Saccharomyces cerevisiae S288C: one gene and its partners. The protein of the gene in region 1 interacts with the protein of each later gene in a biochemical or structural test. Each region holds a gene or a part of one and is shown on either strand. Other genes may lie near its edges.

Region 1 (7,204 bases):
GCATCCGACAGATGAGGATTGTTAAAATAAAGTTCAATTGCATCTGAAACATTTTGATCGGTTCTTGAACGACCATACAATTTGTTTATAAAGATATAATCACTGTCTGCTTCTTCTTCGTAATATTCGAGCGAAAGCTGATTCAGCACAGAGGGATTTTTCTGTATTTTCATGCCACATATCCTGAAACCCAAAGATCCTGAAGTCGTCGTCTCACTGACTCTTTTCATTCTCTCTCTTTTTTCCAATGATGCCTTCGAATCATACAAAGTTTTGCCTAATTTTATATCAAGTATATTAGGTTTACTAAATCCATATAGTAGATTTTCTAAAACGAGGTATTGCTTGGACTTCTCAGACTTTACAGGTATTGAATCAAGATTATCAGTGGAATCACTTAACCGCTCATCTATCTTCAGAAGCGCAGCATCGCCACTTTGCTCGATTTTTGCCCCTTCATTCAAGACTCCAAGATACGTGGGCATCCAAGAGCACAAGGGAGCATCTCCATCAGCCGAAGACTTTCTTCGACTCACATCTCTCACTTGTATGGCTTTGTAGAATTCCAGTTCCTGCGGAAAGGCCGGTTTAAAGATGAGCAATCCATCACCGTCTGTTAGAGTACCGTCGTGGCCAGCAGCTTTATGCTCTAAAACCCTATAATTGTTTACCGTATCCATGTGAAAAAAATTTCTACTTAGGCACACGTATGCACATATCCATGTAAGCTACTAATGGAAATTGTTTAACTGATTACTGGTAAAAAAGGGATCTCCAATGGCTTTATCTTATTCCATTTTGTCCCACCATTTGTATACAGTATAAAGACATTTTGGTGAGATACTTAGTTACCCAGCCTACTTCTGAGAAATATTACCCGACTCGATTATCTACCAATTGGCTTCGAGAACGTGGTTTTTCACCATTTTTTTTCCCGCTTTTTTTTTTCATCCGACCGTTGTGGCGGAGAGAAGCTTCCGGAAGGGAATTCACTCAGATTCTCTCCAGTACCACGGGGGGCAACTCTGCCTGGAACACTCTCTTCCTTCAAGAACTTAGCAAGAAGTACCAATTAGTCCCAGCGGGCCCTCAGGGCTGGTCTACTGCCTTATACTCTAGGATGTACATCCTACCACACACAACAAGCCTGTCACACCATGACTACAGATCCTTCTGTCAAATTGAAGTCCGCCAAAGACTCCCTCGTCTCCTCCCTCTTCGAGTTATCAAAAGCTGCTAATCAGACAGCCTCCTCTATTGTTGATTTCTACAATGCCATCGGCGACGATGAAGAAGAGAAGATAGAGGCTTTCACCACTTTGACTGAGTCTTTGCAAACATTGACTTCTGGTGTAAACCACTTGCACGGCATCAGCTCGGAGCTGGTTAACCCTATTGATGATGATAAAGATGCTATTATCGCTGCTCCAGTCAAGGCTGTAAGAAGAAAGATCGAACGTGATCCAAATGCTCCAAAGAAGCCACTGACTGTTTTCTTTGCTTACTCTGCGTACGTTCGTCAAGAACTTCGTGAAGACAGACAAAAGGCTGGCTTGCCACCTTTATCCTCAACTGAGATTACTCAAGAAATCTCCAAGAAATGGAAGGAATTGAGTGATAACGAAAAAGAAAAATGGAAGCAGGCTTACAACGTCGAGTTGGAGAATTACCAAAGAGAGAAATCCAAATACTTAGAAGCAAAGAAAAACGGTACCCTACCACCAGCTTCCTTGGAAAACGGTCCAACTCATGCGCCGGTTCCAATTCCTTTCAGTTTACAGCACGCCGCTGAACCTCCTGTGGAAAAGAGACCTCACGATGATGATGGATCTTCGGAAAAGAAGAAGAAGAAGAAGAAGAAGGATAAGAAGAAGGACAAATCCAACTCTTCTATTTGATGGACGGACAAACTCGTTACTATTACTCTACTGTCTTTCTAAAATAAATATAATAATAAAAAAAGGAATAAAATATAGCAGCATGGGCTTGCTTTGCCCATAGTGTATGCACATATATATATATATATATGTATCTATCCCTCTCCTCTTGTAACAGTATATCTTCCTTTTCATTTTCGTTGTGTATATGTATGTATATAGTTCTAAATTTGCGATTATACCTTTTCAAACCTCTCAATGTTGTATTGTGCTAAAACTATGTACATTTTAGAGAAAAAGAAGGAAGCAAAACAAATACATAATATATACAGGGGGGCCGTTCTTTTTGTTTTTGAACATGTATTAAAGAGTGCTCAATAATTGATCTACAATATCAAATTTCTTCTTTGGTGCATCTTCAGGGCGTTTCCAGTGTTCAGGAAACTCATAATCCCGCTTCTTTTTACGTAAACTCTTAGCTATAGTATGCCTTGTGTCAAGGGGAACATCGCTAAAATCGTCCTCCGTCAAATCTTTTGACTCCGCTAACAGCCTTTGAAGAATATCATGCAAATAACGTGCATTTTGTGATGCATGCTCAAATTTGTCACTAGACATTTTAAAAATATCTGTAGTATGATCATAACGCGACCTGGCTAATATTCTGAACTTATGTAATGATTTTTCCTCCAGGCCCAATTCCTTGGTTTTAACGCTTAATACAACCTTCCTCGAATTGGGATGCTCTTCGCCAACATAACTAGTGTATCTATAAGTGACCGGATGACTTTCTGGAGATGGTCTCTTGTATTCCTGGCGATATTGAGCTAATAGCGGTAACTCATATGCGGCTAATCGATTATAGAACCTTTGTTCACGATGTTGGGCAACCAATTCCTGAGCTTGCGATGGCAATTCATCAAACATAAACGGTCTAAGACTGTTATCGCGATTCACGTTTCCACCTTTTATATCAATAGCGCCTTGTTCTCCTCTGTGATATAGCTTTTTAATATCGTTAACAGGTACATTTGAGTACTCAGAAGTGGTTAATAAGGCATTCAGTTCGTCTTTGTTAGGTTTATACTCTGAACCCAATCTAGCCATTCTCTCCCAATATAACTCTAAAATTCTTTGAGGAGGTAAACCCTTCCATTTTTCGGGATGCATATAGAGATCTGCTGAAAAAGCTGGTCCTTCTCTCACAGTTTTAGCTTCATTACCAGCATCACTGTTCAAACATCTAGACATTGTCAAAACCCTTTTCTGGGTGCTCCACAAATTACCCCGAGAGACTTTCCATAACCCCAATGGTACTTTCATCTTCCTAAGAATAGTATTTTAGTAGTGTCAAATGTTTCGGTAACTCTACTGCCTTGTTCACAGATCGAAATATACTCAGAATCAGTTACAGAAAAGGTCCCATTTAGCGTAATTTCTTAGCGGAACTCATTAAAGAGCTCCGACGTGCAACGCGATAAAGGTTCGCCGACGACAACAAAACAATGGCAGGCAGTCATTAAATGAACGCCATCAAATGAAATATTCGTGGTAGCGATTACAATAAGGAAGTTGGAAAAACATAACAAAGACGGAGCGACGAGAAGTATTGGACAGGACATATGCCTAGACATGGAAGAAGAGGAAAACTGCCAAAAGGCGAGAAACTTCCTAAAAAGGAGGGAGGCGACAATACTCCGTCAAAGCTTTTATCGTCAATGCTTAAAACTTTAGATTTGACCTTCGAGCGTGATATTGGAATGCTCAATGGCAAAAGTGTTAGGTCCATACCCAATAAAAAAACTTTACTTGAATTGCAAAGTCAATTGGATAGTCTCAATGAAATACTGGGTACAATTGCCCGAGGTGATCAAGAGACCATTGAAGCGCTTCGGAAAATAAGAGACAGTAAAAATGAGAAGCAAGCAAACGATGAAAAGCAGGAAACTTCAAATGCAGACGGGCAGCACGAAAGTTCTACTGCTACTGAAGAAACGAATATAATTGATAAAGGGGTACAAAGCCCACCAAAACCTCCTCCTTCTAATGAAATCTCCGGCACAATTGAGAACGATGTAGAAAGCATCAAACAAGCGGCTGATAATATGGCTAAAGAAGAAATTAATGAAGACAAAGATTTACAAGTTCATAGAGATCAACCCAGAGAAAAGAGGCCGTTCGATTCTGAAACTGAAAATAGGGCCACTGAAAATGAAAACACACAGAGGCCAGACAATAAGAAGCAAAAAATTGACGTTGACAAAATGGAAAACGATCCAACTGTTAAAAATCCAAAATCAGAATTTGTAGTATCGCAAACGTTACCTCGAGCAGCAGCAGCACTCGGCTTATTCAATGAAGAGGGACTAGAAAGTACAGGAGAAGACTTCCTAAAAAAAAAATACAATGTAGCTAGTTATCCAACAAATGATTTGAAAGATCTGTTACCAGGTGAATTACCGGATATGGACTTTTCGCATCCTAAACCAACCAACCAAATTCAATTCAATACCTTTCTAGCATTTGTGGAAAATTTTTTCAAAGATCTTAGTGATGACAACTTAAAGTTTTTGAAGATGAAATATATTATACCCGATAGCTTGCAATTTGACAAAACTTATGACCCTGAGGTAAACCCGTTTATTATACCGAAACTAGGCCCTTTATACACAGATGTTTGGTTCAAAGATGAAAACGACAAAAATTCTGCCTATAAAAAACCTTCACCATATTCAAACGATGCATCTACTATACTACCAAAAAAAAGTGCCAACGAACTTGATGATAATGCTTTGGAATCGGGCAGTATATCGTGTGGGCCCTTATTATCTAGGCTGTTGAGTGCTGTATTAAAAGATGACAATGACAAATCAGAATTGCAATCTTCTAAAATAATACGGGATGGCGGACTACCGAGAACCGGAGGGGAAGACGATATACAATCGTTTAGAAACAACAACAATGATACTGTAGACATGACATTATCTCAGGAGAACGGGCCCAGTGTTCAAACACCTGACAATGACATTGATGAGGAAGCATCTTTCCAAGCAAAACTGGCAGAAAATAAAGGCAGTAATGGCGGTACTACAAGTACGTTACCCCAACAAATTGGGTGGATAACAAATGGAATTAACCTGGACTATCCAACATTCGAAGAACGATTGAAAAGAGAACTAAAGTATGTAGGGATATACATGAATTTGCCTAAGGATGAGAACAACCCTAACTCAGATGACCCCGATTGGGTCACCGGTAGAGAAGACGACGAAATAAGCGCAGAGTTAAGAGAATTGCAAGGCACTTTAAAACAAGTGACCAAGAAAAACCAAAAGAGGAAAGCCCAATTGATTCCACTAGTGGAAAGACAACTAGCATGGCAGGAATACTCATCTATTTTAGAAGATTTAGACAAACAAATCGACCAGGCTTATGTCAAACGTATTCGCGTACCCAAGAAAAGAAAGAAGCATCATACAGCAGCTTCAAATAATGTGAACACAGGAACCACGTCTCAAATAGCACAACAAAAGGCTGCAAACTCAAGTTTAAAATCCCTTCTGGATAAAAGGCAAAGGTGGATTAATAAGATTGGTCCATTGTTTGATAAACCTGAAATTATGAAGAGAATCCCCAATGAAAGCGTATTCAAGGACATGGACCAAGAAGAAGATGAGGATGAAGCCGATGTATTTGCACAAAACACTAATAAGGACGTGGAACTAAATTAAAATATACGAACTCTAAGGAAAAATACGTAGCATAATAACGCATATAACTAACAATTTGGATAACTATCCATAAAAAAAAAAAAATAGTCACATAATACGAACATTAATATCCTTTTTTGTTACATTTTCTTCCATCTGAAATATTTGGAGGGGCAAAAACAATGAGATGACAGTTGAATGCATGAACTTCCGATCGCGGGCGTATAGGTAAAGTCAATTGAAGCAAGTGTGACGACATAAGTATCGTAATTTAGTGGTTGGATACATTAAAAAAAACAAGTGGTATATATATAAGTAGTAGTAGTAAGAAGTAAGCGATGTCTAGGGCTAAGAGAATTATGAAAGAAATCCAAGCTGTGAAGGATGATCCTGCAGCTCACATTACTCTTGAATTTGTGAGTGAATCTGATATCCACCATTTAAAAGGCACATTTTTGGGCCCACCTGGAACACCTTACGAGGGTGGCAAATTTGTCGTGGATATCGAAGTACCTATGGAGTATCCATTCAAACCACCAAAGATGCAGTTCGACACAAAAGTATACCATCCAAATATATCATCAGTGACAGGTGCCATTTGTTTAGATATTCTTAAGAATGCATGGTCGCCAGTGATAACACTAAAGTCTGCATTGATTTCGCTACAGGCGCTACTACAATCTCCAGAGCCTAACGATCCTCAAGATGCAGAAGTAGCACAACACTATTTACGGGATAGAGAATCTTTTAATAAGACTGCTGCACTATGGACGAGGTTATACGCCAGTGAAACTTCCAATGGTCAAAAAGGCAATGTAGAGGAGTCTGATTTATATGGGATTGACCACGATCTGATTGACGAGTTTGAATCTCAAGGTTTTGAAAAGGACAAGATTGTGGAAGTGTTGAGACGATTAGGCGTCAAGTCCTTAGACCCCAATGACAACAACACAGCCAACCGTATCATCGAGGAATTGTTGAAGTGAATAGATAAAAAAAAAACGCACCAAGTAAGTAAGTAAATAAAGAATAAATAAACTATATGAGTAAAACACCAAGCGAGGATGTTTCATTGTGCATCCGTGTTCTTGATGATCACATAACTGTAAAAGAATAATACGGCACGTTAAATGTTATTTTAGAATATATAAACACCTTATGTGCCATAAGCATTGAGCCAATCGCTGCTGTTTTTTTTATTCCGGGGCACCTTCGGAAGAACACAGGCGCAATTTAGTTATATAAGGAGAAGCCCTCGAGCGATCAGGGGACCGACTGCGGATCGCTTTAAGGCAAAGATAGAAGGATAAATATCTGCTTTGGAAGATAGTCGTATCTAATTTCCCATTCTGTTGTTTTCTTGATCTTTCCTACGCTTTCGACTTTCTTCCTACGCGCTTTATAATAGCTATGATGTTGCCAAGATCCATGAAATTTATGACTGGAAGGAGAATTTTCCATACTGCCACAGTAAGGGCCTTCCAGTCTACCGCTAAGAAGAGCTTAACTATCCCATTTTTGCCCGTATTACCCCAGAAACCAGGTGGTGTTAGGGGCACTCCCAATGATGCCTACGTCCCCCCCCCTGAGAATAAATTAGAGGGCTCATACCACTGG
Region 2 (9,303 bases), on another chromosome or scaffold:
GCAGAGCTTTACTAAACAACAACACGTCTTGAAAAAAATCGAACCCAATAGTAAATATATTCCTGAAACACATTCAAATCTTCAACGGCCAATTAAAAGTCAAAGTCAAACGTACGACTCCATCAGTCATACACAAAATTCACCATTTGTACCATATTCAAGTTCTAAAGCTAACCCTAAAAGAAGTAATAATGAGCACAACTTACCAAACCACTACACAAACCTTGCAAATAAGAATATCAATTATCAAAGTCAACGAAATTACGAACAAGAAAATGATGCTTATTCTGATGACGAGAATGATACATTTTGTTCTAAAATATACAAATATTGTTGTTGCTGTTTTTGTTGCTGTTGATAAAGCGATTTTTATACTTTTCTCTTTTTCCTTTTTTTTTTTGATTGGCTGTTTCCTTATGCCGCTCTTTCCCAATTTATGACTTTCCAATAATGTATTATTTTGTTTCTCTTTCTCTCTGTTACCCTTTATTTTATCATCTACAATAATTGAATTCCGGAGAGGGTAAAGAAACAGGAAAAAGAAGAAAATGAGACATAGTCAGCATCGTAATCGTTTTCCTTCTGTATATTCCTTTATCAAAAGACTACACGCACATATATATTAATCCCGGTATGTTTTTGGTGTGCTAAATCTATCTTCAAGCACTATTATAGCATTTTTTTAAGAATATCCAAAATAATATGTAATTTATGATTAATCAAGGTTCAAGAATTGGAGAAACCGTGAGCGACTTCTTTGATACTTGGATGTAAGCTTTTATTTAGTTGCTTTTTCGTTTTCTTTTATTTACGCCCTTGTTTTGCGTGTATACTTTACTTTTCTAATTCACTTGAGAGCGGGACTATATATAAAAAAATGCACAATTACAAACTTGAGAATGAATGCATATCGTGAAGATTTTGATATTAAATTAAGAAGCCAAAAAAACGTAGGCAACCATAACAAATTTCGGCATTGAACTTGATTCTAAATGCTACATACAATTACGCGCGCTGTTTTGATATACACACACATATATATATATATACATTGTGTAAGAAAAATTCAAAGCTTAGTAAAACATACAGATCATGGAGAAAAAAAAAAAACCGAATACTTGTGTTACCAGAAGGATCCACTGACTGGACTTGGGTCACAATTTGAATTTTATTGATTTTCACCTTCATCAAGGAGGATGGTCGTTAGTAATAAAGGGCATTCTGAGTGACAGACAAAGAAATTATCTTCAAAGAAATGTTACTTTGATTCATTGATATGTTATTTGTTTTTATTTGAAAGCACTCAAGGAAACTAGACAACAGTAGTATCAATAGTAGATCCACTTAAATGCACATCATTTACAGAATACATCCTCTTTGTGAAGACGATATCCTCTTGGTCATCATTCAATCTACCTTCGCTAACAGTATTTGCTGAAGAACAATCCCAATTACCAGAATTTGAGAACATATCATCAGATGTTTCTGTCATACTATGGTCACTCTCATTGGATAATGATAACATAGAAGAATCAGATATTCCACTCTTCCCAGTACCATTACCATCGATTATTTTACCGGTATCGACATTGAATTGAACTTGACAAATTTGATGTAATCCCAGTTCACAAAAATTGTCAAGAGTTACTAAACTTCCATCGTTTGCCATATCAAGGAATAAAAATCCACATCCTTTTCCATTGGCCTTAGTGTCATTGCTCTTCAAGCAAATATTTTTATCACTCATACCACTCACAATAATGTTTCCACATTGGAAGACTTGCTTGGTTAATAGTAGTTCACTTTCACTATCTAGGCTAATTGAGTTAAATCCATGGACTAACTCACCATATTTCATGTTTTGTAGGTTTTGTAAATCCCAACAAATGACAAAGCCTTGGTCATCACTGCTATATAACGCGCCTGTGTTTTCGTTAAATTTTAGACTTTCAATGTATCCTTTCTTAGCATATAATTCACAAACTGGTTTACCGTCGCAGGATTGAATGTCCCAAATTTGAATTTTATCGTTCAAGCTCTGTGCAACGTGATGATTACTTATCCATACGCAATCCAAACTTGTGTTCTTTCTTTGCAAATGGTCTTTTCCACATCCTGCAGATATGCTATTATCTAAAATATCTGGAATATAGAGATTTGTTCTCAAATCAAGCAGCGAGATGCCATTTGGTCCAAATTTTGAGCCAACTAAGGCCAGTAAGAAGGGATCATGGAATTCATTAACGGCAAAAGAATTTATACCTGGATATGATTGCAAAAAAATAGGTGTTTTTATGCAATCAAGATTTGATTTCAAGTCATATATAAAGAGGGAGTCATTTAGAAGGGAAACAAAACCGGTCTTGTTCCATGGCGAAACCTTCAAAATAGGTGCTGTTTTTGGCGTTATTTCCAGAATCGGAATCGACGTTGATACGGTAGATTTTAGAAACTTGTTGTGGTTAAACCTTTTTATTATTTTAGCACATCCCTTATATGTTGAAGTTGCTATCAGATTGACTATACCGTCTTGATGACCTGTCAATATTAATTGGTTGTGGTTAGGATTTATTTGAGAGCTGGGGAAAATCTGTGGCGGAAAATCTACCATGGGCAATAAGCAGATACAAGTAATGGGTTTACCGGGAACAGTAATCGTCTGTAGTTCCTTCAGCTTTTTCTCAGCGGAAATTTCAAAAAGTTTCAAGTTGTCTTTCTCGTTCATTGTAGATACTAGAAGTATATTATCCACAATGGACATGTCTGAAGGTATGGATAACTCACTTTCATCAACACCGTACAGTTTCCAATAATCTGATTTTAATTTTTTAGTTGTATAATAGTCATTGAAGTTGTCTGATGCTTTTCGCAAAATCGGTGAATTCATTTTCGAAGTATTGTTTTGCCACGTTTTTTTGTATGTGGATAAAGTCATCATCGATTGTAAAATCCTCTTTTTATCTGATCTCTTCTTTATATTAATAGCAGGCTGACGAAAAATATTTGTTGGTTCGTAGTATTTGGTATCTTGCATAATATTAATACGTGTCACTCTCACTATCACACCTACAATCAAATTTTTTAGCAAACACAGATTAAAATTTGGAAGTCATGCAAGAAGAAGAAGCCAAAAGATAGTTTGAGGAAAGCTTGGGAGAGATATTTCTACCTTTTTATATATTGTAAAACGTTTACGCACTTATTTATGTAAACCAGTAAGCACCCACCCAGCTATGTCGTCATGACTACAAATTGGTTATGAACCAAGCCTTATTCAGTAAACCAGCAAATTTAACATCATGCCGGCATTGAATCATACATAGAAATCAACACAATAGCTTTGAGAACTGAGAATGTAGCTTTGACGCTGCTATTATTATTTGGTATTGTTTACCTTTTAATGTTTATTTGTTTAGAAAACAGACTGCTGGTTTGTTTACATTTGAGAGCAGAAAAAAAAAATTGCTGGCGCAGACCAGCCGCACAGTCACGTGACAGTATACGATCATGTGATCTTACGTACATAATGACATTATACGAGAAAGGGGAAAAAACAAAAATTTAGTGGAAATTTTTGGTAAAGACCAAATTGCAGTGATCTTCATGGTGAAAGGTAATATTTTTTGCTGGCGGGGGAGGGGGCTTCTATCTCGACAATTAAAAGACATACGCTTAACCATTTTTAGGGTACTCGAGTATCGCATCTGCTAATTGATAAAAGGACTTTGTTGTGTTTTGAGGCTGTTTTCCATTTTCTTCGTTAGAGCTACAAGAGTCGACTTTTTCGTTAAACAAAAACGATTATAAGATAATAAGCGCTGTCAGTTTTTTCCACAGTTTTGGACTTGTTACTATAATTCGTGAAGCACATTTTGCAAGTGAGTCAAAATTTCAGTTCAGTCCTTCTTTAGAAGAGTGAGTGCGTAGCAAATAAAACAGCAGGAAATAATTGCTTGTTTTTGTGTGTAAGTACCTTTTAGTTGGAACTACCGAATATAGTGTTATTCGACTTTCACTTTCATAAGCCACAGCTTTTTCTTAGTGCGTTTTTAGTTCGATAAATTTACCAAAAACTATTTTCCCCTTTTCTTATTCCCTTTTCTTTGTTAGCTTGGGTATTATATTTAAAGTAACAGAAAGGAAAGAAAAAAGAAAAAAAATGCCTTCATCCATATCCGTCAAGTTAGTGGCTGCAGAGTCATTATATAAGAGGGACGTATTCCGTTCCCCGGATCCGTTTGCTGTTCTGACTATTGATGGTTACCAAACCAAATCTACATCCGCAGCGAAGAAAACGTTAAATCCCTACTGGAATGAGACTTTCAAATTCGACGATATCAATGAAAATTCTATTTTAACCATCCAAGTCTTTGATCAAAAGAAATTTAAAAAGAAGGATCAAGGGTTTCTTGGCGTGGTTAACGTCCGCGTGGGTGATGTTTTGGGCCATTTGGATGAAGATACTGCTACATCGAGTGGTAGACCTCGCGAAGAAACTATTACTCGTGATTTAAAAAAATCTAATGACGGAATGGCCGTCAGCGGTAGGTTGATTGTTGTTTTATCAAAACTACCTTCGTCAAGTCCGCATTCACAAGCTCCTTCTGGCCATACTGCATCTTCTAGTACGAATACAAGTTCAACTACTCGAACAAATGGTCATTCTACTTCCTCCACCCGTAATCATTCAACGTCTCATCCTTCCAGAGGCACCGCGCAAGCAGTAGAATCAACTCTTCAAAGCGGTACAACAGCTGCTACTAATACGGCAACAACCAGTCACCGTTCCACCAATTCCACATCCAGTGCTACCAGACAATACTCTTCGTTTGAAGACCAGTATGGTCGTTTACCCCCTGGTTGGGAGAGAAGGACCGATAACTTTGGTCGTACATATTACGTCGATCATAACACAAGGACTACCACTTGGAAACGTCCAACGCTCGATCAAACAGAAGCCGAACGTGGCAACCAATTAAATGCAAATACTGAGTTAGAGAGAAGGCAGCATAGGGGAAGAACTTTACCTGGTGGATCATCAGATAATTCCTCTGTAACAGTTCAAGTGGGAGGTGGTTCCAATATACCTCCTGTTAATGGTGCAGCAGCAGCAGCGTTTGCAGCTACAGGTGGTACCACATCTGGTTTAGGCGAATTACCTTCAGGCTGGGAGCAGCGATTTACTCCAGAAGGAAGAGCTTATTTCGTTGACCATAATACTAGAACAACCACTTGGGTGGATCCAAGGAGACAACAGTATATACGTACTTATGGCCCTACAAATACCACCATTCAGCAACAACCGGTCTCCCAATTAGGTCCTTTGCCTTCTGGATGGGAAATGAGATTGACCAATACGGCACGTGTATATTTCGTTGACCACAATACAAAAACAACGACCTGGGATGACCCAAGACTTCCATCATCGCTAGACCAAAATGTTCCACAATACAAGCGTGACTTCAGACGTAAGGTTATTTATTTCAGGTCCCAGCCCGCTCTTAGAATATTGCCGGGACAATGTCATATTAAAGTACGTAGAAAGAACATTTTTGAGGATGCTTATCAAGAAATTATGAGACAAACCCCAGAAGATTTAAAGAAAAGATTAATGATCAAGTTTGATGGTGAGGAAGGTTTAGATTACGGTGGTGTTTCCAGAGAATTTTTCTTTTTATTATCACATGAGATGTTTAATCCATTTTATTGTTTGTTTGAATATTCTGCGTATGACAACTATACCATTCAAATAAATCCTAACAGTGGCATCAACCCCGAACATTTGAACTATTTCAAATTCATTGGTAGAGTTGTGGGTCTTGGTGTTTTCCATAGAAGATTTTTGGATGCATTCTTTGTAGGTGCACTTTACAAAATGATGCTACGTAAAAAAGTCGTATTGCAAGATATGGAAGGTGTTGACGCAGAGGTGTATAACTCATTAAACTGGATGCTTGAGAATAGTATAGATGGTGTCTTGGATCTGACGTTCAGTGCCGACGATGAAAGATTCGGTGAAGTTGTAACAGTGGATTTGAAGCCAGATGGGAGAAATATTGAAGTTACTGATGGTAATAAGAAAGAATATGTCGAATTATATACCCAATGGAGAATTGTTGATAGAGTTCAAGAACAATTTAAGGCATTCATGGATGGTTTTAACGAATTAATCCCCGAAGACTTAGTAACTGTGTTTGATGAGCGTGAACTAGAACTATTGATCGGTGGTATTGCGGAAATTGACATTGAAGATTGGAAGAAACACACTGATTATCGTGGTTACCAAGAGTCAGACGAGGTCATTCAATGGTTTTGGAAGTGTGTCAGTGAATGGGATAATGAACAAAGAGCCCGTTTATTGCAGTTCACCACTGGTACTTCTCGTATACCTGTCAACGGGTTTAAAGATTTGCAAGGCTCTGATGGTCCAAGAAGATTCACTATTGAAAAAGCTGGTGAAGTACAACAATTGCCAAAATCTCACACATGTTTTAACAGAGTTGATTTGCCACAATACGTTGATTATGACAGCATGAAACAGAAGCTAACATTGGCCGTGGAAGAAACCATAGGGTTTGGTCAAGAATGATTATTCCGCACCAATTTTTTTTTTATTTATGGTGTCCGTTTTCCCAACATTCTTTCTGCCTCAATCATCTTGTTTTATATTTCAGCTAACAATAGTAAAGAGAAAACTCTTTTTTGTTAATTTTATCTGAGTTGCTCATGAAATGATTAATCATTGTTGTTTTTACAGCAACATGGAAAGCAGCAAAGAAAATGCAGGAAAACGTGAAGTGCTTTTTTTGATGATTACGCAAAGTTCTTTTCAAGTTCGCCATAAGAGGAGGTTTTCCTTTTCAAAAGGAGCATGATACCAATAATTTATATTGCCTTACGCCTCTTATTTTTTATATCCTCTTTTTAGATTTTATTAATTTTTTTTTTTATTTATATACATATAATGTGCCCTGCTTTTTACAACCATACGTTTTTTGTTTTTTAATTTTCTTGCATTTTAAAACTGAATAGTGACCTGGGTATTATACTACAGTTGAAATTGCTCTCGTGAGGTACATACTTGAAACGAGCGTACTAGGCAATCCCTCTCTTGCCAGTCACCTACACACGGAGAGTATCGGTTATTTGTCGTGAGGAAAAAAGAACCGGATAATAAATTCTTGATTTGTTATATTGTACAGAGAATGACGAGAAGTAAAAAGAGAAACCCGAACAGGACAGAGCGTACATTTTTTATATACCTGTTCTTTTGTGCTTGTAGACGTATATCGTATTATTAAATTAAAAGTAAACCTAATTTGAACCATCGAGATAAAAAAAAAAAAAACGGAGCACTTTTTTGCTCATACAAGCAAAACCGCATTGACACAGCCGTCTCTGTCTGGTTCGTTTGTGACCTGAGCATACTTACCCCAGACAACTTTACCACCAGCAGTAACCATCCCCAATTCCGAAACGTTAACTTCAATAATGGTACCTTTAGTCAAAACACCTAACTGAGTGTACATTGGAGATTGTGGATTCTTCTTAACTGCCAAAATTGGCAAGAAGACAGTTACACCTAATTCCGGATGAGTGACGTTTGCCTTTTTCTGTCTCAACGCACTTGGTCTGATGATTCTTTCCATTTTAACTGGTCTTCTAGTGAAACCTTCACCCACAAAAGTGTGTTTCGTTATCATTCTCTTCCATGACTTGGATCTAGATTTACCTGTTTTAATAACTTTGAACATTTCTTCTTCACTTATACCACGAACCTTTGGTAACGGAACTGAAAACTTATCAGCTTTTTCCAACCTCTTTTGTTTGATCGATGAAGAAATAGCTTTGGCTGTGTTATTTTGTTCTCTGTCCAATAGATATGTCGGCAAAGCATCACCATCGGTATCCAATGGTTTGGATGAACCCTTGACCTTAGATTGTTCATGTGCCTTAATCTTCTTTCTCATTGATACCTTTTCAGCATATCTCTTCTTAGCAAATTGCTTACCCTTCCAACCAGTCAACTTCTGGGCCCGTTCAGAAATCTTATGAGACTCTCTTGCCTCTCTCTTACGTTTCCTTTCTTCGTGATCTAATCTTTTACCATGCTGTTTGATGTGACGCTCGATATAATCGTTTTGAGGCATTGTTTCGTTGTATATATCAGTATTGATACGAGACTGACTACTGACTAAAGATAAAAACGCCAGATACGAAAACCAAGTTCTTCTCTAACTGATACCTAATCCATTCAATTGTCTTAAAAGTGCATCTCATCGCTGTCCGGAAAATTTTTCATCGGATTGTTACTAGAACCGTTGCCGACGACATAAAATTTTTTACGCCTTTCCTGCAAGGTTGAAGAAAAGAAACCGATGAGCTATACCATTCTAAAGTGTCAAAAGAGATGAAGAAATTAAAATTGTCAACTAACACACAAATCCAAGAATGTCTGAACTTAATGCATTATTAAAAGATATCAACGGCTCGCTCACTGCGACATCAGAATCCTTGGAGAGGTTGTCTGGGATTTATAGTAATTCTGCGACCGATGAGATTCCTGAAAGTAACCAACTACATGAGCATCTATTTTACGACGCTAAGAAGCCTGCTGAGAAAGTATCGCTGCTATCCTTAAAAAATGGGAGCATGCTAGGGTACATAAATTCTCTATTGATGCTTATAGGCAATAGGCTAGACGACGAGTGCAAAGATCCTTCTGCTATGGATGCACGTGAACGCTCTATTCAACACCGTGTGGTATTAGAGCGTGGTGTTAAACCACTAGAAAAAAAGTTGGCTTACCAATTGGACAAGCTGACTAGAGCATATGTGAAAATGGAAAAGGAATATAAAGACGCTGAGAAGCGTGCACTGGAAAAATCTACCTTAGTGAATCATAGCGGCAACGACGATAGCGAAGATGATGAGTCTAGTGAGGATGAAATAGCATACAGGCCAAATACCTCTGGAATTATCAACACAAATAAAAAATCATCAGCATACAGGGTGGAGGAAACGGCTAAGCAAGAAAACGGGGAAGAAAACGATGACAATGAGACTGGCGTGTATAAACCACCAAAGATTACGGCTGTTCTACCACCGCAACAAACGCATTTTGAAGATAGATTCGATGCCAGAGAACACAAAGATCGTAGTAACAAATCGCGTATGCAAGCCATGGAAGAATATATTAGAGAGTCATCGGACCAACCGGACTGGAGTGCATCTATTGGTGCTGACATTGTGAACCATGGAAGAGGCGGTATCAAATCTTTGAGAGACACAGAGAAGGAACGT
Region 3 (6,960 bases), 380 kb from region 1:
GACAGACTCAGCTACCGATTAGTGTTGTTGACTTTTCCGCAAGATCCTTTTCTCCCTCTTTGGACCTAGTCATCCCTCCACACAAGATTCGCTCTTAAGTAGTGGCGCAGGCTGTTCGCTTTTAAGCATAGTGCTTAATGTCGAAGGCTTTATAGATCCCAAATACTACGCCTTGAGAAATTGAATGCACTAGCAGTTAGTTAACTTTCTGGAACGCGCATGACGCGTCCCGGGGCGCCTGAGGCGGAGCGTTCGCGAAATCGGGAAAACATTATACTGGGAAAGATCACTATCTATTCTCTAAATGAACTTTTAAGCAAATTATCGTAAGATAGAAAAGACGAAACCTTAGCAACCTAGCGGTTTAATATAGAAACAATTTTATTATGATACCTTCCAATAAGAGAAATGCTAGAATTTTAAGCATTACAACGCTATTATTGTTGTTAGTGTTTTTCGTAGCGCAAAATGCGAACTTCTTGACGGTAGAGATAAAAGAGGAAACTTCTAAAGCATTTAGTACTAATATGGACAATATGGCTGGAGGATCTTCCAGGGAATATGCTGCTATGCCGACTTCTACCACGAATAAGGGGAGCTCTGAAGTAGACGAAGAAATTAATGAAATAAAACAGAAGGTGGGACTCCAACAGCCCATAGCATCGGTTGATGATAGTTTGTCGGCCATTAAAAACGATAAAGGGTCGCGAATAACCAAAGCTTTTAATGTTCAAAAAGAATACTCCCTCATACTAGACTTGTCTCCGATTATAATATTTAGTAAAAGCACCTGTTCATATAGCAAGGGCATGAAGGAACTGCTTGAAAATGAGTATCAGTTTATCCCAAACTACTATATTATAGAACTTGACAAACATGGACATGGGGAAGAGCTGCAAGAATATATCAAGTTGGTGACCGGTAGAGGAACTGTTCCAAACCTTTTGGTTAATGGAGTATCAAGAGGAGGTAATGAAGAAATCAAGAAACTGCACACTCAAGGGAAACTTTTAGAATCATTACAAGTCTGGAGTGATGGTAAATTCTCGGTTGAGCAACGTGAAAAACCTTCCAATAATTGAAATTGTTACAAAAAGGAAAGAAGAAAAAATTAAGAATAAATATATAAATAAAGAGGTCGTGAATGATTAGGTCGTGAAATGCAGTGTAGTTGGAAAGGCGTAGTTTTCCTAGCACAAGGCGTTTCGGAGTTGGAATAAAGAAGCTATCACCAACGAAGAAGCTTTTTTGTCCAAGACATCTCTTAAAAGGGTTGTGAAAACATAAAACGCTTAATGCCTTCATATATACATATATAAGTTTATGGTTTCGATGTTTACAATAACTTCTATCCTTTGCTGGTCCATGCACTTCACCTTGGTAAGTTATGCAACGCACTTTTGTCTACGCCTGCATTCGATATAAAGGGTAAGCTGCCGAGATAACTTTTGTATCTTCCGTGTCTGCAGATAAAAAAATAATGCATTCTTCAAAAACTTTGTACAATATCGGGAGAGTTTAACAAGCAAAGTGGCAATACAGATTATAAAAATATGAAAGTTAAAATAAACGAAGTGCACAGTGTGTTTGCTTGGTCATGGCACATCCCTAGCACATCTGATGAGGACGCAGCCAATAACGATCCAATTGGCAATGATGAAGACGAGGATGTCTGTGGTATCTGTCGTGCCAGTTATAACGGTACCTGTCCAAGCTGTAAATTTCCAGGCGATCAATGCCCTTTAGTGATTGGGCTATGTCATCATAACTTCCATGATCATTGTATATACCGTTGGCTTGATACACCAACCTCAAAAGGACTGTGTCCGATGTGTAGGCAAACTTTCCAGCTACAGAAGGGTCTAGCAATTAATGACGCTCATGTCCAAAAGTTCGTTGAAATAGTTTCAAGAAGAAGAGAAGAAATGATAGAGGAGGGCGTCGCAGAAGAGTTTGTGGACTTTGATGAACCAATAAGGCAAAACACCGATAACCCAATCGGTAGACAGCAAGTTGATACCATCCTGGACGAAGACTTTTTGTTACGATAAAAAAGAAACTTAGAAATCACAATTAGCTATATTTCCATACGGTTCTTTTCTTGTGAACGCTGTTAACATTCTGTATACTTAAATGAAAATTTAATATTGATTTTTTCTTGTTGCAGCTAAAGATAAAAAAATTTTCTTTTCCAATCGTTGAATAGATGTACTGTAGCCGGAACTGAAGTTAAGGTTGTTAGATTGAAAAAGAACAACAGTGTACTAATCATGCTAACGATGACAGCGGTATCGTTGCATACTTAGAATACATAAAAATATGCTTCCAATCGGATTTGAACCGATGATCTCCACATTACTAGTGTGGCGCCTTACCAACTTGGCCATAGAAGCTTCTGATTTGTGTTCATTTGATTGTAAGTTAGAGTATTTCAAGCTCTAACTCAATTATGTGAACTTTCATAAAATTGTGTTATTTTTGAGAAATATGTGAGTTGTTAGATAATTGTTGGGATTCCATTGTTGCTAAAGGCTATAATATTGGTATACAGAATATACTAGAAGTTCTCCTCGAGGATATAGGAATCCACAAAAGGGAATCGATAGTTCTACATAATGTTATTATTTTATCTTCTTTCCTTTTATGCGTTGTCATTCATTATCCTATTACATTATCAATCCTTGCATTTCAGCTTCCATTAGATCGGATGACTGTTTCTCAATCTTTATGTCATCTTCTTACACCGCATGTGATAATATAATATTAAATAGATGATATTAGAGTTCAATTCCAACAATTTTCATTCTAGATAGCGGGAATATTACTGGGTATTCAGTATATCACAACGTCTCTTACAAGATAGAGGATACTACAAGAGGGAAGCAAGAATCATACATGGTAATGTTGTTTTTTCTTCCCCACATTTTTTGTTATCATTCGTTATTTATTATATTTTCAATGCTTGCATTTGCAGCTTCCATCTCATCTGATGACTGTTTCTCAATTCTTATAGTGTGTTATCATGTACGGTATTAGATGATGACATAAGGTTATGAGAAATTGTCGTCGAAGTTAAAGGAAGCTGTATTCTGTATACATAATACTATAGAATTTACAAACAGTGGAATTGCAACAATTATCAAATTATTCACCTAATAATCACCTTTAACATTCAGGGAGGTTTATTTTTGCTTCCGAAATTTTTACAGTCTACAGGGAAGAAATAAATATTTAGTTGAGAAAGTTTTGTTTATTTGTAAGTTATTAATTTGAAAAATAAATACCATAACTAGCGCAAAGCTTATAAAAGAGATGTTTGTTGAAAAATGCAGAAACCCCATATATAAAACCATGAAATGTCACAATGGACATGATGTACATTCTTGGAGATAACATCATATTCGAAATATTCAATATGCCCAATTGGTACCTGTTCTCCATACCCCATTATATGATACAAATGATCTGCCCCTATTCTAACACTGTGCTAGCAACATAGCAATTATACTAAATTTTTTCAGTCACTATGCAATACATGTAATCTCTCAACTACCAAGCAGTCATTATTCTATTAATATATATTTGTGCTTGGAAGTATTGTTTCACTTCTCAGAGGCCTTTCTTGACATGTTATAGTTTTTTAGGTACCTTCTAATCCTGTAAATTTATACAAAAATTGGTATATAATGGCTACCTCCGGAAATTTTAACAACTTTTGGGTCACACTATTACTGTGTATACTTCCTTTAGAGATCTCAAGCATTACTGAAAGATAACCTGAGGAAAAACATAGCGCGTCTACGGATGTGTAATACTCGCTGGATTTCCTGGTAAAAACTACTGTACATTTATCAGCTGCCTCTGCCAATGCTATTGAGAACCGTAGGTTCATTAGAATTACTTCATTCAACGGAAAACGTCACTATACCTGCCGCTTGTGTGTCGCGTCAGTAACGCCTTGACAGAAAAAGAAAGAAAAGAATATGACCGACCGATCGATGTATTATTATTATTGAACTGATTATAAAAAATTGGAACGTCGTAGAATCAGAAATCATAAGACAATGGCCAACTATGCCAAATCACACATCAATATTTAACCGAGATAGCAAAAGAAAATAAATTTCGATTATTTTTAAAATGTAACTGACAGTTTTTGGCACTTGTGGACTTCCTCTTTCCGGCAGATAGCAAAACCAACGGTAGAATGGCCCCGAAATTTAAATTTTATTTCATTGTGTGCTTGAGCGTGGCCTTTTTTTTTTTTTTTTTACATATCACAAACAATTCACACATTACCACACATACCATAAGCTAACGTATGCGGTGCAAAGTTCACTATTAGGCGCTTAAAGGCTTGGAACGAAATGACTTCTGGCTTTTGTTTCCTATACACATTCTTAGCAAAACTTTTGGTGTTGTAACAAGCAATGAGATAGAGAAAGAAATATATCCATCAATGGAAGAAATAGGCAGACGTCGGTAATTTTATTCTATTGAAAATATGCAAAAGTGACAGTATAAATTGAAGTAACTAATTTTACATCTAGTAAGCTGCTGTTGAAGAATTGAATAGTATCGCAGTATTTATTTTGTATACCCTTAGAATACACATACTTGGTGTTAGAAGCCATCTAATACACTATATAACTCGGGGATTAAATCATCTTGGAAGAGCGAATCTAGTTCAGGATCGCCTGTCGTAAAGTTCGAGGATAAGGACATCGAATTTAGTAGTAGTCCTAATGACTCGATGTTATTGTCTAAAATTTGTTCAATTTCTTTTCCTGATTTATCATCGTCTTCTTGAATAGGTAAACAGTAATATTTACCAAAGTTCAGGAGGGTTAGGATGGTGTGAAAAATTATAGGAAGGAACATCAAGAAAGTGCTTGAAATATTTTTCTTGGATTATGGAAGTATCAAGAACGATATTATTTCAATAATGTGATGGTTTATATCTTTGCATACAATAGATTTTGTGATACTTTTTTTATGTAATGGTCCCGTAACCCCGTCGCTCTTTCCCTTTTAATTTTGCCCGATCCACTTTCTATGCCGGTAGTTTAGCCGCCAAGTGCTATTTTCAAACGAATCAATAGTAGCGGCTGCAACTTTGAAAAAGAAAGAAACAAAATTATGCGCTAGTTTTCCATTTCTTGTATTCTTTTTTCTTTTGCGGTGGTAATTACGGGAATTTAGTGATGTTGGAACGAGAGTAATTAATAGTGACATGAGTTGCTATGGTAACAATCTAATGCTTACACCGTATATTAATGTACACCTCGTATACGTTTAAGTGTGATTGCACCTATTGCAGAAGGAATGTTAAACGAGAAGCTCAGACAATACTGAAGCTGTGCTAAAGATCTATTAATTGAACATGATATGGTAGGTACATATATGAGGAATATGAGTCGTCACATCAATGTATAGTAACTACCGGAATCACTATTATATTGGTCATGATTAATATGACCAATCGGCGTGTGTTTTATATACCTCTCTTATTTAGTATAAGAAGATCAATACTTATTTCTTCATTAATACTATTTTTTACCTCTAACTATCAACAAGTGATAATTGTTGGAATTCCATTGTTAATAAAGGCAATAATATTATGTATACAGAATACAGCTTCCTCTAACTTCTATGACAGTTTCTCATACCTTATGTCATCATCTAACATTGTACATTATAATATACTCGTAGTAAGACTACTAGTTGAGAGAGAATAGTTGATTTTTATTCTAACAAATAATATTCCAGCAGGTTTACATATTCCTAGGTTTGGGATATATCTTAAGTCAATAATTCATCATTAGTAAGGCAACTTGGCCGAGTGGTTAAGGCGAAAGATTAGAAATCTTTTGGGCTTTGCCCGCGCAGGTTCGAGTCCTGCAGTTGTCGTCATTTTTATATTCCCAATATTTTTATCACTCCGGGTAACGAGTTATTAACGGTTTTTCTCCGGTGGCAAATGTCTCTTTTCTTTTACCTAAAAGAAGGTTAATGTGAATATTAGTGAATATGATGCGTATCAGTGTCAAGCTTACAGTCAATTCAAGTTAAAGAAGAGACAGCGTTTTTAATAGAAAATAAAATGGGACAAGGTGTATCATCTGGACAAGACAAAAAGAAGAAGAAGGGATCTAATCAGAAACCCAAATATGAACCTCCCGTTCAATCTAAATTTGGTCGTAAGAAAAGAAAGGGAGGTCCAGCTACTGCTGAAAAATTACCCAACATATATCCAAGTACTCGTTGTAAGTTAAAGCTTCTAAGGATGGAACGAATTAAAGACCATTTGTTATTAGAAGAAGAATTTGTCTCTAACTCTGAAATTTTAAAACCCTTTGAAAAGAAGCAGGAGGAGGAAAAGAAACAATTGGAAGAAATACGTGGAAATCCATTGAGCATTGGGACCCTTGAAGAAATTATAGACGATGATCATGCGATAGTGACAAGTCCAACTATGCCTGATTATTATGTATCTATCTTATCCTTTGTCGATAAAGAGTTACTAGAGCCTGGATGTTCTGTGTTATTGCATCATAAAACCATGTCCATCGTAGGTGTTTTACAGGATGACGCCGATCCAATGGTTTCGGTCATGAAAATGGATAAGTCGCCAACAGAATCATACAGTGATATTGGTGGCTTAGAATCTCAAATTCAAGAAATAAAAGAGTCTGTAGAGTTACCGTTAACACACCCCGAACTGTATGAAGAGATGGGTATCAAACCTCCCAAGGGTGTGATTCTTTATGGTGCACCCGGTACAGGTAAGACATTGCTAGCAAAGGCTGTTGCAAATCAAACATCTGCCACATTCTTAAGGATTGTTGGCTCAGAGTTAATTCAAAAATATTTGGGGGATGGTCCTAGGTTGTGTAGGCAAATTTTCAAAGTAGCGGGTGAGAATGCACCAAGTATTGTATTTATTGATGAAATAGACGC
Region 4 (9,944 bases), on another chromosome or scaffold:
GTATATTTTCTCGTCTAGATATGACAGGTCCAATAGTGTACGTTCAAAATGCGGACGGTATCTTCTTCAAGCTTGCTGAGGGCAAAGGAACTAACGATGCTGTTATTCACTTGGCCAATCAAGATCAAGGTGTTCGGGTCCTTGGAGCAGAGGAATTTCCTGTGCAAGGTGAAGTAGTAAAGATTGCGTCCTTGATGGGGTTCATTAAGCTAAAGTTGAACAGGTATGCCATTATCGCAAATACTGTGGAAGAGACCGGTAGATTCAATGGCCACGTTTTCTATAGAGTGTTGCAACATTCTATCGTATCTACCAAGTTTAACTCGAGAATCGATTCTGAAGAAGCCGAATATATCAAGCTACTGGAGTTGCATTTGAAAAATTCCACCTTTTATTTTTCATACACATATGATTTAACAAATTCCTTACAAAGAAATGAAAAGGTTGGTCCTGCAGCCTCCTGGAAAACCGCTGATGAACGATTCTTTTGGAACCATTACTTAACTGAAGATTTGAGAAACTTTGCTCATCAAGATCCTAGAATTGACTCCTTTATACAACCTGTTATCTATGGGTATGCCAAGACAGTGGACGCCGTTTTGAATGCCACCCCTATCGTTCTTGGTTTGATTACCAGACGTAGTATATTTAGGGCGGGCACAAGATACTTCCGTCGTGGTGTTGACAAAGACGGTAACGTTGGCAATTTCAATGAAACTGAGCAAATTTTACTCGCTGAGAATCCAGAGAGTGAAAAAATACACGTTTTCTCCTTCTTACAGACAAGAGGATCTGTGCCAATATACTGGGCTGAAATCAACAACTTGAAGTACAAGCCAAATCTTGTTCTTGGAGAAAACTCATTAGATGCGACAAAAAAGCATTTTGACCAGCAAAAGGAGTTATATGGCGACAACTACTTGGTTAACCTAGTCAACCAAAAGGGCCACGAACTACCCGTGAAAGAGGGCTATGAATCAGTCGTGCACGCGCTAAACGATCCGAAGATTCACTACGTGTATTTTGACTTCCACCATGAATGTCGTAAGATGCAATGGCATAGAGTGAAATTGTTAATTGATCACCTGGAGAAATTAGGTTTATCTAACGAAGATTTCTTCCACAAGGTCATAGACTCTAATGGTAACACCGTTGAAATTGTTAATGAGCAACATTCCGTTGTAAGAACAAACTGTATGGATTGTTTGGACAGAACAAATGTCGTTCAATCTGTTTTAGCCCAGTGGGTTTTGCAAAAGGAGTTTGAAAGTGCCGATGTCGTTGCTACTGGAAGCACTTGGGAAGACAACGCTCCATTGTTAACTTCTTACCAAAACTTATGGGCTGATAATGCAGATGCAGTTAGTGTGGCATATTCGGGCACTGGAGCTTTGAAGACCGATTTCACAAGAACCGGTAAGCGTACACGTCTAGGTGCATTCAACGATTTTTTGAATTCAGCATCACGTTATTACCAGAACAATTGGACTGATGGTCCAAGACAGGATTCATACGATTTATTCCTTGGTGGATTTAGACCACATACCGCTTCTATCAAGTCGCCATTCCCCGACAGAAGACCAGTGTATATTCAGCTGATCCCAATGATCATTTGCGCAGCCTTGACCGTTTTAGGTGCTACGATATTTTTTCCTAAAGATAGATTTACCAGCAGTAAGAATTTGCTGTATTTTGCAGGTGCGTCGATTGTCTTGGCGCTTTCAACCAAATTCATGTTTAAGAACGGTATTCAGTTTGTCAACTGGCCTAAGTTAGTAGACGTTGGGTTCTTGGTCGTTCATCAAACGCATGATAAAGAACAACAATTCAAAGGTTTGAAATATGCACAGAGTCCTAAATTTTCCAAGCCGGATCCTTTAAAAAGAGATTAATGAGTTCTATATGTGATAAAATGATGATTATTGTAAATCCAAAACGTAAAACCGAAAATATGATAAAAACGAGAAAAAAAGTAAGTTAAAAAATAAAAAAATAAAAAAATGAACGCCGGCCCCAGAGGGAAGAACAAGCTATTTATTTTCTTTTTTACTTTATCTTTCATGGTCATATATATATATATATATATATATATATATCTTCTATAGGCTACTATACATGAAGGCGTTCGCCCTTACAACGTTAAGTTTTTTTCCCTATTGTACCGTGTAAGTTTCAATTATTCGCATAATTCATGAATGAACTTCTTCACATCGGTTGATTTCATTAGGGCTTCACCCACTAAAAATCCATGGACACCTTCTTTTTTGTATTTTTCAGCATCGTCCCTGGTGGTAATTCCCGATAGAGCAATTAGAAGAACATCCTTTGGAATAGATTCTACCAAGTTACTGGTGGTATTTAGGTCTACGTTGAATGAATGCAGGTCCCTATTATTGACACCTACAACTTTAGCACCAATTTCTAGAGCCCTTTGTAATTCCTCTTTGGAGTTCACCTCAACGAGAGGTTCCATGTTCAAATCTTTACTGTAGCTGTACAGTTCCTTCAATAAGGGTTGAGATAGCATCTTGACTATAAGAAGGACAGTGTCAGCTCCAGCTAATCTTGCTTCTAGTATTTGATACTTGCTGAAAATAAATTCTTTTCTCAAAACACAAGGCCTCTCCTTGGGAGGAAATTTCAAATCTAGGATTTTCCTCACATTTACTAAATCCTGTAACGAACCGTGAAACCAATGAGGTTCGGTCAATACGGAAATTGCGGATGCACCAGCCTCTGCGTATTTGAGAGCCTGTTCAGCAGCAACAGCTTTTAAACAAATGGGTCCCTTCGATGGAGAGGCACGCTTGACTTCAGCAAGAACAACGGCTCTTTTATGGGATGATGACAACACCGTGTAGAAATCCTGTAACGGTGGGGCAAGACCTAAATCATAGTTAGATTGTAAGTCTTGAAAGGTGAAACCTGGGATTTTAGACTGCTCATTGACGTCTATTTTACGCCGAGCATAGATACGGTCCAAAATAGAATTTGAAGGAGATGATTTGTTTTCCTCCCAAGTGCCTCCACTGACGTTTAAAATGTTCCTGATCATCAGATGACCTTCCTCGGTCAAGATGGATTCCGGATGAAATTGCACACCTTCTACAGTGTACTTCTTGTGTCTTACACCCATGATAATTCCATTTTCGGTACTCGCAGTAACCTTCAAGCAGGATGGTAGGGACGATTCTGTCCCGGCCAATGAATGGTATCTTGTCACAGCAATACCTTGCGGCACGTTCTTGAAAATTCCACAGTTGTCGTGAGAGATTGGGGACGTTTTACCGTGGACAATCTCACCAGCGTAGGCAACTTCACCACCAAATACGTCAAACATGCATTGCTGGCCCATACAGATTCCAAATACAGGAATTTTCCCAGTAAAGTACCGGATACAGTCTCTTGAAATGCCAGAATCTGTCTTTGGGTGGCCTGGTCCAGGCGAGATAAGCAATGTGTCGGGATTCAAGGCGGCAATTTCTGGAACTGTAATTGCATCGTTACGGTAGACGCTCACTTTGGCGCCCTCCTGGCACAAGTACTCGTAAACGTTCCAGGTAAAGGAATCGTAGTTGTCAATTAGAACCACATGCTTATTGATTGGGTTTGTTGCAGCGTGCACAGACATTTTTTTCTTACTTTTATGGCGTTCTATGTAGAACCAAACAGATTTGGTAATGTGTTAATACTGACCAGCTCCTTGTCGAACTTTTTGCGTACCTTAATATCTGCTATAGATTAGAATGAGTCAACGAGCCATTGATGATCATTCAATGATTACTACAAGAGGCATTTTCCGTCGTCAGTGATATGAATAGCACGGTGAGGTCCAGAAGAGATAGTAGGAAGTTTAATACTGGCTCAAAGGCATACTTATATCGACAAGCTAAGCGCAAATACTACTTTGTGGTACATCATCAGCATTGCTTTCGAGAAAACAGCATTTAAAATCAGCCATTTGCTGCGCTTTCTTTAAGCCCTAACAGAAAATAGTTCAAAAAGGCCTATAAGAAGCAAAAAAAGTGAAAAATACGAAAAAATACTCCAGCGGAGGAGTATAAAAGGGAGGAAAATACAAAATGTAGTTGTGTTGTTACGCATCTCAAAGAAGAAAGAAGAAGAAGAAGAAGAGGACGTCGCACTTGCAAGCAAAAACAGCGACTGGCGCGAGAACAACAAACACTAATGCATGTCTCTGTCCAGCAGGAAAAGCGAGCCTTAGTGTTTCTTATTTTCTCGTTCGCCTCACTAGTTTGTAGTAGGGTGGGAGAAACGATGGAGTGGATTGTATGATGAGGAACCAGATAGGGACAACAGATTCTCAAGTGACGAGGAACATCTTTTAAAGCCCAGTTTTTAGTAGAGCTTAGGGCGCCTTTACTGACTATCCACTCCTTGTTAAGCTATGATCTTGTATTCATGTGATTGTAAATAATATTAGAGCTCTTTCTTGAATTGCCATTACGCTTCCATGCGGCATATTCTCGTGTAGTGTGACAAAAGGTGCGGGTGGCAAATAAAGGTAAAAGAAAATGATCAAAAAGGGCCTTTAAGTAGGATGAGCAACCGCCAATCGCTGGATATAAGCAAACAAAAAGTAAGATTAGTAGCAAAGCAAAGAACATATAACTATAGCTATGAGCAGCAATAATAGTGGTCTCTCTGCCGCCGGAGAAATCGATGAAAGTCTTTATTCTCGTCAACTTTATGTGTTGGGTAAGGAAGCAATGTTGAAAATGCAAACCTCCAACGTATTAATTCTCGGCTTGAAGGGGCTAGGTGTTGAGATAGCGAAGAACGTTGTGTTGGCAGGTGTCAAATCTATGACCGTTTTTGACCCTGAGCCGGTTCAATTGGCAGACTTATCAACCCAATTCTTTTTGACCGAAAAGGATATTGGTCAAAAGAGAGGAGATGTGACCAGAGCCAAATTGGCAGAGTTGAACGCATATGTCCCGGTTAATGTGCTGGATTCCTTAGACGATGTTACCCAATTGAGTCAATTCCAGGTCGTTGTCGCTACGGACACTGTTTCTTTGGAAGATAAGGTGAAAATCAACGAATTTTGCCATTCCTCCGGTATTAGATTCATTTCCTCGGAGACAAGAGGGCTGTTTGGTAACACCTTCGTAGACCTAGGTGACGAGTTCACAGTGTTGGACCCAACGGGTGAAGAACCTCGCACTGGTATGGTTTCAGACATCGAGCCCGATGGAACAGTGACCATGCTAGATGATAACAGACACGGGTTGGAAGACGGAAATTTTGTCAGGTTCTCCGAAGTAGAAGGTCTTGATAAGTTGAATGATGGGACCCTTTTTAAAGTTGAGGTTTTGGGGCCCTTTGCATTCAGAATTGGTTCAGTCAAAGAATATGGCGAGTATAAGAAGGGCGGTATCTTCACCGAAGTCAAAGTACCCCGTAAAATCTCATTCAAGTCTTTGAAACAACAACTGTCCAATCCTGAGTTTGTTTTTTCGGATTTTGCTAAATTTGACAGAGCTGCTCAATTGCATTTGGGATTTCAGGCTTTACATCAGTTTGCCGTTAGACATAATGGTGAACTGCCAAGAACAATGAATGACGAAGACGCCAATGAATTAATCAAGTTGGTCACCGATTTGTCCGTTCAGCAACCGGAGGTTCTGGGTGAAGGTGTAGATGTTAATGAAGATTTAATCAAAGAGCTTTCCTATCAGGCAAGAGGTGACATACCGGGTGTCGTAGCATTTTTCGGTGGCCTTGTGGCACAAGAAGTGTTAAAAGCATGTTCTGGTAAATTTACTCCGCTAAAGCAATTTATGTACTTTGATTCCTTGGAATCATTGCCAGATCCTAAAAACTTCCCAAGAAATGAGAAGACTACTCAGCCAGTAAACTCTCGTTACGATAATCAAATCGCGGTTTTCGGTTTGGATTTTCAGAAAAAGATTGCCAATTCAAAGGTCTTTCTTGTCGGATCTGGTGCCATTGGTTGTGAGATGTTGAAAAATTGGGCACTTTTGGGGCTTGGTTCTGGCTCCGACGGTTACATCGTTGTTACGGATAACGATTCGATCGAAAAGTCCAACTTAAACCGTCAGTTCTTGTTTAGACCAAAGGATGTCGGAAAGAACAAATCTGAAGTAGCGGCAGAGGCCGTTTGTGCTATGAACCCCGATTTGAAGGGCAAGATAAATGCTAAAATTGATAAAGTGGGGCCAGAAACTGAGGAAATATTTAATGACTCCTTTTGGGAAAGCCTGGATTTTGTCACCAACGCTCTAGACAATGTCGACGCAAGAACATACGTAGATCGCCGTTGTGTGTTTTATAGAAAACCACTGTTAGAATCTGGTACCCTAGGTACTAAAGGTAATACTCAAGTCATCATTCCAAGATTGACTGAATCATACTCTTCTTCTAGAGACCCACCAGAAAAGTCTATCCCATTGTGTACCCTACGTTCTTTCCCAAACAAGATTGATCACACCATTGCCTGGGCCAAATCTCTTTTCCAAGGTTACTTCACTGATTCCGCCGAAAACGTTAATATGTACTTGACACAACCGAATTTCGTTGAGCAAACACTAAAGCAAAGCGGGGATGTCAAGGGAGTTCTAGAATCCATCTCAGATTCTCTATCTAGTAAACCACACAATTTTGAAGATTGTATCAAATGGGCAAGGTTAGAATTTGAAAAAAAATTCAACCATGATATCAAGCAGTTACTGTTCAACTTCCCCAAGGATGCCAAGACTTCCAACGGTGAACCATTTTGGTCCGGTGCTAAGCGTGCTCCAACACCATTAGAGTTTGATATTTACAATAACGATCACTTCCATTTTGTCGTAGCAGGTGCTAGTTTACGCGCTTATAATTATGGTATTAAAAGTGATGACTCTAATTCTAAACCCAACGTGGACGAGTATAAGTCCGTCATCGATCATATGATAATTCCAGAATTTACTCCAAATGCCAATTTGAAAATTCAAGTTAATGACGATGATCCGGATCCAAATGCCAACGCGGCTAATGGCTCAGATGAAATTGATCAGCTGGTATCATCCCTACCAGATCCTTCTACTTTGGCTGGCTTTAAACTGGAGCCTGTAGATTTCGAGAAAGACGATGACACTAATCATCATATTGAATTTATAACGGCTTGTTCTAACTGTAGAGCTCAAAACTACTTCATCGAAACTGCTGATCGCCAAAAGACCAAATTCATAGCTGGCCGTATTATTCCTGCCATCGCAACAACCACTTCTTTGGTTACTGGTTTGGTCAATTTGGAATTATATAAACTGATTGACAACAAGACAGATATTGAGCAATATAAGAATGGCTTTGTTAATTTAGCTTTGCCATTTTTCGGTTTTTCGGAACCAATTGCTTCACCAAAGGGAGAATATAACAACAAGAAATATGATAAAATTTGGGATAGATTTGATATCAAGGGAGATATTAAATTAAGTGATTTAATTGAACATTTTGAAAAAGATGAAGGGTTAGAAATAACAATGCTTTCTTATGGCGTTTCTCTTCTTTATGCCTCATTTTTCCCTCCAAAGAAATTGAAAGAAAGACTAAATCTACCAATAACTCAATTGGTTAAATTAGTGACTAAGAAAGATATTCCGGCACATGTATCTACAATGATTCTCGAAATTTGCGCAGATGACAAGGAAGGAGAGGATGTTGAAGTTCCTTTCATTACCATTCATCTATGAGTAACTAATTAACCAAAATAAAAAAATAAATTAAATATATACATTAAATATGTATATATATATGTATGACTTTTGACAACTTTTTCTTTGGTAAAAACTTATTATTATTATTATTATTATTATTATTAATGTAGTCTCGAATATTTGAGTATGTTTTAGTTTTTTGTTTTATATTTTCTTTGGGTTTAACTGCTTTGGTTGGAAACAATTTGGAATAATTCCCCGCGATTATTATATAAAGTGTCGAAGTTACCTCGCTCAACCACTTTACCATCTTTAAGAACTGCAATCGAGTTACAAGACCTCATCATTTGTTCACTATGCGTTATAACCATTGTTAGTAGAGCAGGTGGACCTTTTTTGACGATCTCATTGATGATAGAGGAGCTGACAGAATCCAAGGCTGAAGTACACTCATCTAAAATCAGAATTTTTGATTTTCTCAGAAGTGCTCTGGCTATGCAAAGCCTTTGCGCTTGTCCACCTGACAGTAAAGTTGTATCAATACGTGTATCCAAGCCCTGAGGTGATGAAATTACAAAGTCATGGATTCCTACGTATTTTAATGCATCATACATTTCAATTTCAAGTATTTCATCTTGTAAACCATAAGTTAGGTTATCTCTGATGGTTCCATTGAATAATAAAGGTTTTTGCTCAACCACTGAAATTTCTTTTCTTAAACTTGTCAAATTCCAGTCATTTACGTCCGTACCGTCTATTTTAATTTTGCCTACTTCACAATTATAAAGTTTTGTTAATAAAAGCACAAGTGTAGACTTTCCTGTGCCTGATTCACCAATGATACCTAACGTCTGTCCGCAAAACATGTCAAAATTCATGTTTTTGTAAACAAAGGCGGTAGGTGCAGATGGATAGGCAAATGTCAAATTTTGAATTGAAACGATTGGTTTTTTTTCTTTGCCATGGTAGGTGTGACCAGCTATTCCCACTGTTCTAGCATTATTGTTTTCAACCTCTAGGGTATTATGCTTTTCATCAAGAATCCTATAGATCCAACTGGCAGCACGTTGGCCTCTACTTATATCGGGTATCTGACTTACTAGGCTAGTGCATGACATAATAGTGAATAATAACAAAGTGAAAGTCGTAAACATTTCCTTTGAGGTGTACTCGTGAATCATAACCAGCTTTAGGCCATAGTAGTAAATAATAGCTTGGATACACATGACAATCATGTTTGTCATAGATATACCAAATCCTGTGGCAATGGCGCGTTTGGAGGCAATTTGTTGCATTTTTATCTTCAAGTCATGGTAGGTCAATTGAAAATGAAATTCAGCTTGTAAGCACTTAATGGTTTTAATGTTAGTGACAATCTGGTACAGGCAGTTTTCTAACTGAGCAACAGATGTCTTATAATCTGTTTCGCATTTTTGTAAAATGCCTCCATATATTGCTGAAAATATAATTATGAGTGGAAACATCGAAATACAAACCAAACTTAACTTCCAGCCCGATACTAACGCCCAAATTAGTCCAATCGTTGATACGGTAACGAAACTAGTCATTGCACTCAAAAATTCAGAGACCAAAGACCTCAAATCTCGCAAATCATTCAAGACTAGAGCAGAAATTTCAGAAGCCTTGTTGTTTTCACCAGAAAACCAGTCCATATTCTTTCTCGTCAGTTTTTCCATAACTTCATTTCTAAGATCCATAACCCAGTATTCACTGCAGCAATCTAATAGGAATCCTTTAGCAAAATTGAAAATACCATCTGCCGCAGCCACACCAAGAACAAGAAGCGACCATTTCGCCAAATAATGTGAAGAGCCAGTTTTTCCATCCGTGGATGGGACAATTCCTTCTAGTAAGAAACTGAATGTGTATGAAAAGACGGGATTTGTGGCGCCTGCGATAAGAGAACATAGCAGTCCCAAGATTAGAATTTTTTTGTATCTTATGCTTTTAATCATTCTTTTGATAATCTGAATAATGCTCAGAAGTTGTGGCCCTGTTGAACTTTCGGTGTTCTTTTGTTGTTTTAGTGCATACCCAATATTTTCCTCTTCAACTTTAACCCTTCTTGTTCTAACGTTCGATCTTTTTTGATAGATTGCTTCGTAAAAGGACAACTGATCTGTCTCATCATATCCCAGATTACTTAAGCATGATCCAAGTTTTGGTGTTTCCAATTGAGAGTTAAAACTTTCCACAGTGTGTATAGATTTTTCTTCAGTCTCTGTATCTACAATAGTTTTCGCA

Evidence for each region.
Region 2: the proteins of UBC1 (region 1) and RSP5 form a complex in vitro, tested with the Saccharomyces cerevisiae proteins (10 studies listed by BioGRID).
Region 3: the proteins of UBC1 (region 1) and APC11 form a complex in vitro, tested with the Saccharomyces cerevisiae proteins (3 studies listed by BioGRID).
Region 4: of the proteins of UBC1 (region 1) and UBA1, one has a biochemical effect on the other in vitro, tested with the Saccharomyces cerevisiae proteins (5 studies listed by BioGRID, with this or other methods).

The regions. Positions count from the first base shown.
Region 1 is NC_001136.10:810,953-818,156, forward strand, and holds UBC1 (E2 ubiquitin-conjugating protein UBC1), read left to right. Parts: upstream 1-5,925; coding exon 5,926-6,573; downstream 6,574-7,204. Other genes in the region: ARG82 (inositol polyphosphate multikinase), read right to left, coding at 1-680; HMO1 (Hmo1p), read left to right, coding at 1,158-1,898; mitochondrial 37S ribosomal protein mS35 RSM24, read right to left, coding at 2,241-3,200; histone acetyltransferase NGG1, read left to right, coding at 3,500-5,608; succinate dehydrogenase membrane anchor subunit SDH4, read left to right, coding at 6,998-7,204.
Region 2 is NC_001137.3:406,030-415,332, forward strand, and holds RSP5 (NEDD4 family E3 ubiquitin-protein ligase), read left to right. Parts: upstream 1-4,159; coding exon 4,160-6,589; downstream 6,590-9,303. Other genes in the region: casein kinase YCK3, read left to right, coding at 1-358; DSE1 (Dse1p), read right to left, coding at 1,313-3,034; rRNA-processing protein NSA2, read right to left, coding at 7,365-8,150; small subunit rRNA maturation protein LCP5, read left to right, coding at 8,452-9,303. UniProt on the Saccharomyces cerevisiae protein: E3 ubiquitin-protein ligase which accepts ubiquitin from an E2 ubiquitin-conjugating enzyme in the form of a thioester and then directly transfers the ubiquitin to targeted substrates.
Region 3 is NC_001136.10:431,944-438,903, forward strand, and holds APC11 (anaphase promoting complex subunit 11), read left to right. Parts: upstream 1-1,553; coding exon 1,554-2,051; downstream 2,052-6,960. Other genes in the region: glutathione-disulfide reductase GRX6, read left to right, coding at 387-1,082; YDL009C (uncharacterized protein), read right to left, coding at 982-1,305; YDL007C-A (uncharacterized protein), read right to left, coding at 4,624-4,881; proteasome regulatory particle base subunit RPT2, read left to right, coding at 6,104-6,960. UniProt on the Saccharomyces cerevisiae protein: Probably catalytic subunit of the anaphase promoting complex/cyclosome (APC/C), a cell cycle-regulated E3 ubiquitin-protein ligase complex that controls progression through mitosis and the G1 phase of the cell cycle.
Region 4 is NC_001143.9:34,523-44,466, forward strand, and holds UBA1 (E1 ubiquitin-activating protein UBA1), read left to right. Parts: upstream 1-4,640; coding exon 4,641-7,715; downstream 7,716-9,944. Other genes in the region: phosphatidylinositol-3-phosphatase SAC1, read left to right, coding at 21-1,892; TRP3 (bifunctional anthranilate synthase/indole-3-glycerol-phosphate synthase), read right to left, coding at 2,177-3,631; ATP-binding cassette a-factor transporter STE6, read right to left, coding at 7,901-9,944.